Yarrowia lipolytica: one gene and its partner. The protein of the gene in region 1 interacts with the protein of each later gene in a biochemical or structural test. Links are inferred from orthologs where the notes say so. Each region holds a gene or a part of one and is shown in the gene's direction. Other genes may lie near its edges.

Region 1 (7,665 bases):
TGCAACCACAACTCGAACTGACAACTACCAAGATCATTTTAAAGTTACCCGGCTTTCCCAACGAATCACAGCACCGCAAATTGCAACCTCCAAAATCATATTGCATCACCAAAGTCATCTCTGGAGCACACACCAATACCGCAAAAATGGCTCTGTTTACTTCGCTAGTCGGTGCATCCGGTCTTGGTGAGTATCGCAATGCGCGACGAGATTGTCCACCGACAATTTCCGCTGCTTCGACGACATGTTTTTGTGTCTTAACCATCGACTTGCAAGTGACACAAAGGGTTCTAGACATGTTTGACCAATCTTGACTGGAATTGGAGTGGTTGTTGGCACGGATCAACTGCATTGCTTATGATGAATCAAGCGGTGATCTCAGATCGTCTTCAATTCGGTTCTGATATGGACTGCACACCAGATACCAATCATGCTATCAGATATCTTCGCACACATCACATACTAACTCAGGATTCGCTACCAAGTTCCTTTCCAACAAGATCCGACTCAAGCCTGCCGGCTACTACCCTCTCGGATACGTTTTCTCCGGTGTGGCCTGGGCTGGCCTCGGACTCGTGCTTCACAACGTTCATCAGCACTCCTTGGAGGTTCTGGAGAAGAAGAAGACTGCTCTCAGCGAACAGCGAACGGAGTAGACACGGTTTTAGATAACAACGATAATTTATGCATGAATTGACATTTCATATTTGTCTGTAGTGGGCCATGCTTAATAAGCACCTCATTCTTTCGATTAATAAGCACTAATTAACAGTCCCAAGGTGACCCCTAACCTTTGTGTCCTCTTTCGTTTATTTGGCACGTGACCTAAAAAGGCTAATGCTAGAGACTGTCGCGTTGTGTAGAAGGTGTCACCCCGGCAACAGTTTAGCTTTTCACATGCCAGCCCTTGGTGACAGGCTAAAATAATAACAGTACGGTCTCAGATGATTGTTCATGCCGTCTCAGAACGGCTCTGTGTTTTTCTCTGTTTTCGGCGATCGACCAGAGGCACCATGTCACATGTTGAGCCCCTGAGCCCCCTGTTTTTAGCTTAAGCCATACGCATTTTAACGGTGCGTACTGCAGCTCAAGAATGCGTGTTTTTCGGGAGTCTCAGGGGTCCCGTCAGGTGCTGTGAACGCGGTAGGAGGGAGTGTTATCGATTAAACAAGTAGTATGCTGTCAACTTGTCGGCCCTATTGTTCTAGTCTTTTGGGCCCATTAATTTCCCTCAATTTCGCCCGTTTCAGCGCGGCCTTTATTTACTCATTTCTCACTTCAATTTCGCTTCGTTTACCGGTCACAGGTGTTTCAACCCCTTCTTTCGGAATGTGTGCAGGGGCGCATTATTTTGGACACGTAGTACCGGTACGAGTACATACGGGGGAGGTGAATCACGGGGGCCCACGAGGACAAGTACTGGAAATAATAATAATGACACGTGCCAGCGAGAAACAATTACACGGACATAGTTGAGTTGTATTGTATGTTTGCACAGAGTAGTGACTGATTTTTTTTTTTTATTGTCAATAGTCGGCTATTTACTGGAGATATTTCTTTGAAGATTGCCACAACGGACCTACCGCGTCGCTCCATGAAACAAACACCTATCAGAATTGGGGAGTTAGAATGAACATGCTAGATTTGGCGCCATTAGCTCCCGCTTAGGTGCCACCTGGACAGCTGCTGCTGCTGCTGCTGCTGCTGTCTTGTGTTTCGCTGAGCACGGTTACTTGCAGGTTAGCACTAGCACACAGAGTTTGACTTTCCTTCCAACACATCAAACAGGAGAAGGGTGTTTAGTATCGGGTGTTATCTATCTTGAGTAACATTTTGCAACTACGCTACCGACCACACTTGGTTCAAATTCCTTTGCGCTTCTTCCTACGACACAAGCCCACACGTGTTTTCCCCCGTCCACACGTCGTGCAATAGGCTTATTAATTCAACACACAAACACCACACCACCACACCACCACACCACTATCCACACGGATCGACGCGCTCATGGCCATCAGTTACGAGCCCGGAATGTGAGTATGACGAGAAGGGGAGGATGAACCGGCAATACCACGCCGAAAAAGCTGGTTTCGCGTTTTTTCGGCGTTTCATACGACTGTCAAAATCTCGTGATAAACCCCTAATTACACAACTGCTAACACAGCCGCTGCTGGATCCGAGACGAAAAAGAAGGATGGGTGGGTGCCGAGGTGGTCGACCAGAAGACGGATGGTGAGAAGGTGACCATCAACCTGACACTGGAGAACGGCGAGGAAAAGTCGGTAGAGACCTCCGTATCTGTGCTCAAGTCGTCAGCCGAGGTCCCTCAGCTCCCCCTGCGAAACCCCCCCATTCTGGAGTCCACCGAAGACTTGACTTCCCTGTCCTATCTCAATGAGCCCAGTGTGCTGCACGCGATCCGAACCCGATACCAGATGCTCAACATTTACACCTACTCGGGAATCGTGCTTATTGCCACCAACCCTTTTCAGCGGGTCGACAACCTCTACACCCCCGACATTATCCAGGCCTACGCCGGCAAGACCCGTGGTGAGCTTGAGCCCCATCTGTTCGCCATTGCCGAGGACGCCTACCGATGCATGCTGCGAGACAAGAAGGACCAGACCATTGTGGTGTCAGGAGAGTCCGGAGCAGGAAAGACCGTGTCTGCAAAGTACATTATGCGGTACTTTGCCACAGTGGAGGATCCGCTAGCACCACGAAAACGCGACGTGTCACAAGGTGACTCACTGTCCCACGTCGAGGAGCAGATTCTCGCCACCAACCCCATCATGGAGGCCTTTGGTAACGCCAAGACCACCCGAAACGACAACTCGTCGCGGTTCGGCAAATATCTGGAGATCAACTTCAACAAGGACGTGGACATTGTGGGTGCTCGAATCCGAACCTTCTTGCTGGAGCGATCTCGTCTCGTGTTCCAGCCTGCCACAGAGCGAAACTACCACATCTTTTACCAGCTGGTCAAGGGTGCCTCTCCCGAGCTTGCCAAGGCTCTAGGTGTCGAGGGAGGTGTTCCGGCCTTTCGATACCTCAACCAAGGAGGTAATGATACCATTGAAGGCGTGGACGACAGCGAGGAATTCAAGCTGACCGGTGCGTCTCTCGAGACTATTGGCATCGCCAAACCCGAGCAAGAGAGCCTGTGGAACATTCTGGCTGGTATTCTGCACATTGGTAACATTGAAATTGGCCAGACCCGTCAGGACGCGGTTCTGTCATCCGACGAGCCCTCTCTTATCAAGGCTTGTGAGCTGCTGCAGATTGACCCTGTCCAGTTTGCCAAATGGATCACCAAGAAACAGATTGTGACGCGAGCCGACAAGATCGTGTCCAACCAGACTCACAAGCAGTCGTTGGTGGTGCGTGACTCCGTGTCCAAGCACATTTACACGTCACTGTTCGACTGGCTGGTCAGCGAGCTCAATGGCGGCCTGTGCGACCCCAAAGTGCAGGAACAGGTCGAGACCTTCATTGGTGTACTGGATATTTTTGGTTTCGAGCACTTCAAGAAGAACTCGTTTGAACAGTTCTGCATCAACTACGCCAACGAAAAGCTGCAACAGGAATTCAACCAGCACGTGTTCAAGCTCGAGCAGGACGAGTACGTGCAGGAGGAAATCAACTGGACCTTCATTGACTTTTCCGACAACCAGCCTTGTATCGACCTGATCGAGGCAAAGCTGGGTATCCTCTCTCTGCTTGACGAGGAGTCGCGTCTCCCCGCCGGTAGCGACGATGGCTGGTGCACCAAGCTGTACCAGCAGCTAGATAATCCGCAGAACAAGCATTTCAAGAAGCCGCGGTTCGGCAACACGTCGTTTGTGGTTGCCCACTACGCCCAGGACGTCAACTATGAGGCCGAAGGCTTTGTGGAGAAGAACCGTGACGCTGTGCCTGATGAGCACCTCGAGGTTCTCATGGCCACCAAGAATGATTTCCTCAAGAACATTCTGGATGTGGCTGCCAACATTGCTGCTGAGAATGCCCCTGCTGCTCCTACCAAGCCTGGCCTGCGAGCCCCCAAGAAGCCTACTTTAGGCCGAATTTTCAAGGGCTCACTCATTGACCTGATGACCACCATCAACTCCACCAACGTGCACTACATTCGGTGCATCAAGCCCAATGAGGAGAAGGCCGCCTGGTCGTTCTCTGCCCCCATCGTGCTTTCTCAGCTGCGAGCCTGTGGTGTGCTTGAGACCATTCGAATCTCGTGTGCCGGCTTCCCATCCCGATGGTCCTACGAGGAGTTCATTTCCCGATACTACATGCTGGTCCCTTCTGCTGAGTGGGCCTCCATGGAGGTGCGAGATCTGTGCAACCTAATTCTAGAAAAGACCATCAAGGAGGAGGACAAATTCCAACTCGGAAAGACCAAAATCTTTTTCCGAGCAGGAATGCTCGCCTACCTGGAGCGGCTGCGATCCGACCGGCTCAACGAGTGTGCTATTGTCATCCAGAAGAATGTGCGAAAGCGGTTCTACCGACAAAAGTATCTCGACACCCGACAGTCGATTATCGCTGCCCAGACGCTCTTCCGAGCCCACATTGCTCGAGAGAGGTTCCAGGAGCTGCGAAAGGAGCAGGCTGCTGTCAAAATCCAATCTGCGTGGAGAGGCTTCTCTGGTCGACGAGACTTCAAGCAGCAGCGAGAGGGCATTGTCCGGCTGCAGGCCATCTTCCGGGGTGTTCTTGTGCGACGAAACATCCAGGAGGTGGCCCACAAGGGTGCTGCTTTGACCATTCAGCGAAACTTCCGAGGATATGTGGCTCGAAAGGAGTACCGTAACAAGCTGCAGAACATTGTGCTCATCCAGTCGCTGATCCGACGACGACAGGCCAAGCAACAGCTCAAGCAGCTCAAGGTCGAGGCCAAGTCCGAGAAGCACTTCAAGGAGGTGCAGTACCGACTGGAGAACAAGGTGGTCGAGCTCACCCAGAGTCTGACCGCCAAGCGGGACGAGAACAAGAAGTTGCTGGCCGAGATGGACATGCTGAACGCCCGATCTGCTGCTGCCACCGCCAAGTCCACCGAGAACTCTTCTCGGGTCGAGGAGCTGGAGAATGCCGCTGAGGAGAAGGAGCGAGCCCACCAGGAGGAGGTTCAAACCATGGAGCTGAAGCTGGCTGCGTTGGATAAGCAATACCAGGCGTCCGTTGCGCAGCTGACCGAGCTGGAGGACGCCAACGCTGCTCTGAAGCAGGAGCTCGAGGCCAAGACCAAGGAAGTCGCTGACAAGATTGAGGCCACCAACGTGCACATTGACACCAACAAATCTCTGAGCGAGCAGCTGGAGCAGGCCAAGCACGAGATTGAGAAACTCAAGCAGAACGGCGTGGTTGCCTCTGATATGGCCTCAGTGTCTCCTGTTCGAGGCACTCCTGGCACAGCAATGAACGCCAAGCGACGAAACATCAAGCGTCGATCTCTCACCTCTGCTGGCATCGTTGACGGTGCTGCTGCTTTCACTCCCCGACCTTCTGCCGCCGGCGCTGCTGCCGGTGCTGCCATGGGAGCTGCTGCCGGTGCCAACGCTGAGCAGATGATGGCTTCTCTCGGAGTCAATGGCCAGATTGAGCAGCTGCTCGAGTCCCAGAGCGACGAGCTGTATGATGAAGTGATCGAGGGTCTGATCCACAAACTCAACATCCCCATCCCCCACACGTCGGATGACCAGTTTCTGCCTCGAGAGGTGCTCTTCCCCGCCCACATTCTTAACCTGATCACCTCGGAGATGTGGCGGCTTGGCTTTATCAAGGAGTCCGAGCGGTTCCTGGCCCGAGTCATGGAGGCCATCCAGAAGCACATTCTGGAGCTCAGCGGCGAGGCCGTGATCTACCCCGGCGCATTCTGGCTGTCCAACGTGCACGAGATCATGTCTTTCGTGTGTCTTGCCCAGGCCAACATTGCCCAGAACGTGGACATTATGGACGAGATGGGCGAGTACGAGTTCCAGCAGTACGGACGTCTGGTACACGTGGTCAAGGCCGATCTGGAGAACTTGGAGTTTAACATTTATCACACATGGATGAAGGAGCTCAAGAAGCTACTGGACAAGATGATTGTGCCCGCCATTGTGCTGTCACAGGCTCTCCCTGGTTTCATGACCACAGACTCCAACGGCCGTTTCCTCGCCAAGATGTTCACCTCCAACGTGTCCTACTCCATGGATGATCTGCTCAACTTGTTTAACAAGGTGTACAAGGCCATGACCTGCTACTTCAACGAGAAGCACAGCGTGCGACAGTCGTTGATGGAGTTGCTGTCCATGATTGGCGTCAAGGCCTTCAACGACCTGCTTATGCGAAAGAACTTCCTGTCGTGGAAGCGAGGTCTGCAGATCAACTACAACATCACCCGAATCGAGGAGTGGTGCAAGTCGCATGACATTGCCGACGGCGTGGTCAAGTTGGAGCACCTTATGCAGTCCGCGAAGCTGCTGCAGCTCAAGAAGTCGACTCTGGAGGATATTGAGATCATCTACGACATTTGCTGGATTCTCACTCCCTCTCAGATCCATCGTCTGATTGGCCAGTACCTGTCTGCTGACTACGAGGCTCCCATCTCGTCCGAGATTATGAACACAATCTCCGAAAAGGTCAAGCTGGAGAAGAACGCTGTTCTTCTGCTGGAGACTTCTCCTCTGGAGGACTCTGGTCCGTTTGAGATCTGCGAGCCCCGTCTGCTCAAGCGGCTGGACTCGTACATCCCTGCAGTCTTGCAGGTGCCTCTGATCCGTCGATTTGTGGAGCTTACGACCTTGGCGTCTGGGCAAAACAACGAGGACCAGCATGGGAGGATTGATGGTGATATCTCTGAGGAAGCGGCTGCCGATAGTGTCAGTGCCGATCAAATGGTACCGGAAGAGTCCACCAACGGCTACCAAGAAGTGGCAAGCCAATAAGCGCTGTTTTTCTGAGCCCGCGGTCTTGTGGGTGTCTGACAGCGACAGCGACTCGGACTCGTCCGGCGTGTCTGACGACAGCTACATGTCCACCGTGACTCTTCCACGCGCTACTAAAAGACGGTACACTTTGATGAAGCCTCCGCTGTTACAGGGGGTTGATATTTTGTTGTGCTTGTCGCAGAATACCCACAATATGAAAAAATGAAAATTGAGTGTAATATGATTTGAAATTGATTGTTGAAGTTTCTGTGGTGTATCGTGTATCGTATGTTTAGGGCGGGGAGTTGTAAGGAACTAAAGATGGGTGTATAGATTGCGGGGTAATAGCACTAACGTGGATGGAACTACTACTTACAGTGTGGGGTGGGGATGGCTGTTGATGAATTCGCAAGGGATGTACTACTGCTACTGTACTAGTACTTGTATCTGTCTATGGGATGACATGGAGCATAGGAATGCGACTGTGTAGCCGTTGGCAAAAAAAAAAAAAAAGATGTAGTTCCACAGCTGTTTAGCAAGTGTTGGAAAAACAGCATGTACCGAATGTACGTAAGCAACTGATACAACACGAATACAATATGGTACAATGTACTCGTACTAGTACTTGTACTTGTACTGTACACCAATGGCTATATCAATGGCTATATGTATAAAAATGATTGAGTCCATGACAGCTATCACCACAGTGCATTCAATAAGAGGCAAGTGTGACAAGAGACAGTCGCTACAACCACGGTAC
Region 2 (3,297 bases), about 4.0 Mb from region 1:
GCTTGATGTTGTCAAGTTTTCCACGGTTGGAAAACAAGGACATGAAAGTGTTGCCCATCTCCACGTGGCCCTTGACAGCCACACCGTTGGTGTTGGTCTTGACCAGCTCAGAAAGAGCAGCGTAGTCCACAGACACCACAGGAATGCCACATCCAAACATATCAACGACCTTCATGGGCAGATCATAGCCTGAAGAAGACTCATGGAGAGACACTCCGAGGTGGGCAGCGCCCAGAATTCGAGGGTAGTCGGCAAACTCGAGCCAGGCGGTTCGAATGGACACTCTCTTTAACTGCAGCTTTTCCACCTTGGCCAAGAACTCGGGCATCATGGGTCCCTTTCCAGTTATGATGACACGGAGAGGAGGGAGGTCGAGTTTGGATTCGTCGTAGAGAGCCAGAGCGTCGAGGAGAATGTTGAAGTTCTCGTCGGGAGTGTACGATGTACTGGACACGATAATCTTGTGATCAGCGATCATGTCGTCATAGAGAGTCTCCTTAAAGTCTCTGAGCACATCGAGCTTCTCAGATTCGCTGAGAGGCTTGAAGTGGAAAGCAGGTCGGTCGTGCAAGGGCACAATTCGTCGTCCACTCATTCCAAATGTCTTTCGCATAGCCTGACCCATTAGAACAGTCACACACAGATGAACAAAGGCTCTACCTCCAAAGAAACCCTCGTAGAACTTAGCAAACTTGACCATTGGGTGAGTCTCGGGCAGCTTGAGAGCCAAGATGGTGTAGCCAAAGTTGTGCCAGTCCAGAACGACCTTGGTTCGAGTGCTTAGGAACAGGTTGTAGAACCTTACAACTCCAAGGGTAGGGATTGAGGGAGGGTTCTGCACGAGTAGGTAGTCAGCGCCTCGCAGTTTGTAGAGCAGAGAAATCAACAGCCAGTGCTGTCGGATAACCTTGAGAATGCCAAACACGACAAATGGCAGTTTGCGTGTGTTGAGGATCAAAGGAATGTGGTGGATCTTGATGAGATCATTGTTGAGGATCTCGTCGAAGGGCTTTGCGCCGTCGTATCCGCACAGGTCAACTTTGTGTCCGCTTCGTGCCAGAGACCGAGCGTGGTAGAGCATTCGAGGAGATCGACCTAGGTCTCCGAGGACCAGCACAATGGTTCTCTTCCGTTTTCGAATGTCACTGAGCGGTTTTCGGTCATCTTTTCGGGTGAGCAAATAGAGAATGACTGGAATTGCCAGGTAGATTACCACAAGGGTGACAGACCAGTGCCAGGCCTTCATATTTCGTTTAGGTGGACGTTTGGTGGATCTATTGTTGAGCTGTTGGCATGCACGCTTTCCAGGTATGTCATCTGCAAGACAAACTTTGTTTCGAGTGTCTTGCTCCAGTTCAGTACCCAGCGCTTGGGTGCTGTGGCATAACCCTAACGCTCCGCAGTTCGACTCCCAACCTGGCTCTATTTACTCTCCACCGTGGCGAACGCAAACTAAACTAACTCCCCGAATCCAAATTACTCTTTCTCTACACACCACAACACACCAAAGGTAAGTACGATGACGACGAGAAAAAGCAGGGGTAACCCTTACGTGATAATATTCTGCACTCGGAAGTGAGGGCCTGCTTTTATTGTGCCACGTGCTAGTGCGGGTCTCTCCCAAGAAACACCCTCTGACACGTGGCATACAAGCATCCCTTAAAAAGACGAGACAATCCGGTTGCGTCACGTTCATTCCCTCGATCGAAAATACCCTCGACCGAACCGCAATGCTAACCAAGATGTCTGACCAGCTGACCGAAGACCAGGTTGCCGAATTCCGAGAGGCTTTCTCCCTGTTTGACAAGAACAATGACGGTAAAATCACCACCAAGGAGCTTGGTACCGTGATGCGAAGTCTGGGCCAGAACCCCAGCGAGTCCGAGCTCGCCGACATGATCAACGAGGTCGACGCCAACAACGACGGCACCATTGACTTCGCCGAGTTCCTCACCATGATGGCTCGAAAGATGAAGGATACCGACTCCGAGGAGGAAATCAGAGAGGCATTCAAGGTCTTTGACCGGGATAACAACGGCTTCATCTCCGCCCAGGAGCTCCGACACGTCATGACCTCCATTGGTGAGAAGCTCACCGATGAGGAGGTTGATATGATGATCAAGGAGGCTGATGCCAACGGTGATGGCCGAATCGACTACAACGAGTTTGTTCAGCTGCTGGTGAGTTCTACTATTACATGATGTCGGGATAATTCTGGCTCATTCTCGCGCGCACGTGGGACCCTAAGGCGCTCACCCGTGCGCAGCGGGCCCTTCTTTGCTACCGGCTGTGTCCGTTTTTCCCTGCTGCTTGTTGTTTACACAGCCCGTGTGGTGCACATTTTGAGCGCGTTTCTGCACTGGCTGAGTCAATATTGTTATCAGTGGAAAAACGGTCCTGTAGCGCTACACGCGAGCTAATTATTTGTGTGCGTGTGTTACAGAGCAAAGGATCCGCCGTATCGCCTTTAATTGCACTTCCATACTAACCCAGTCTGCTAAATAAGCGCCCTTTGAGTCTTGAAATAGAGCATGTGATTTTTTTCTGTTGTACATATCTTGGCATTGCGTAGTTCTCTCTGTTTATCCGTTGTTGGTGTACAGAAATTCCCCTGCCTGCTGAGTGTTGTTGTGGGGTCTCACGGTGATGCAGTGTCTTTGTTTGGAGTGTGCATTCTAAAAATAACTCACCTGAACCCAAACCTCACTTTTATTTGTTCTTTCCGGAACATACGACATGTTTATACTCTTTTCGTGCCCAGTTATTCCGAATTCGAACACCGATCTATTTTCCCATCTACAATAACGTCATCCCTTTTTATATATATATTATAGTAGCCTTTCTATACCAGCTACGATACAGTAGCATAAAGTGCCGTCGTTCTTAAGGTATGGGTCATGTCTGTGCATTCGTCTTTCCAATGCCGTATAATTCTTGTCCAGGCAACTCAAACGAGAACGCAGTTTCAGACTTTCATACCGGAGTTAAGATATGCAAAATCGTAATCAGCCAGTAACCAAAACAGCTCAATTACATGGAGCAGTCAAGTTGGCCAGCCCACTCGGCCCCCACCACTCGGTAGGCCTTGAGCTCGCCGCTGGTCATGTCAGCCAGCTCAAGCTGGCCCTGCTGCACAATTTTGGAGCCACCAGTGTTCTGGTGCAGAATGTAGACTGTTCTCTGGCCCTCAGAAACTCCCACAACCACTGCAGTATGGTTGGGCACGCCGTAGGACGCGGAAGAGAAGCCACCAGCGGACCGAGATTCGAACTTGACCTCGTAAAACTGCAGAATGTC

Evidence for each region.
Region 2: the proteins of YALI1_E00510g (region 1) and YALI1_E40467g form a complex in vitro, tested with the Saccharomyces cerevisiae proteins (2 studies listed by BioGRID, with this or other methods). The link is inferred for Yarrowia lipolytica from reciprocal best matches to the Saccharomyces cerevisiae genes MYO2 and CMD1.

Annotation. Positions count from the first base shown.
Region 1 is NC_090774.1:45,540-53,204, reverse strand, and holds YALI1_E00510g (uncharacterized protein), read left to right. Parts: upstream 1-2,007; coding exon 2,008-2,033; intron 2,034-2,164; coding exon 2,165-6,923; downstream 6,924-7,665. Other genes in the region: YALI1_E00527g (uncharacterized protein), read left to right, coding at 147-186, 472-656. UniProt on the Saccharomyces cerevisiae protein: Myosin heavy chain that is required for the cell cycle-regulated transport of various organelles and proteins for their segregation.
Region 2 is NC_090774.1:4,045,114-4,048,410, reverse strand, and holds YALI1_E40467g (calmodulin), read left to right. Parts: upstream 1-1,730; coding exon 1,731-2,201; downstream 2,202-3,297. Other genes in the region: YALI1_E40471g (uncharacterized protein), read right to left, coding at 1-1,246; YALI1_E40442g (uncharacterized protein), read right to left, coding at 3,031-3,297.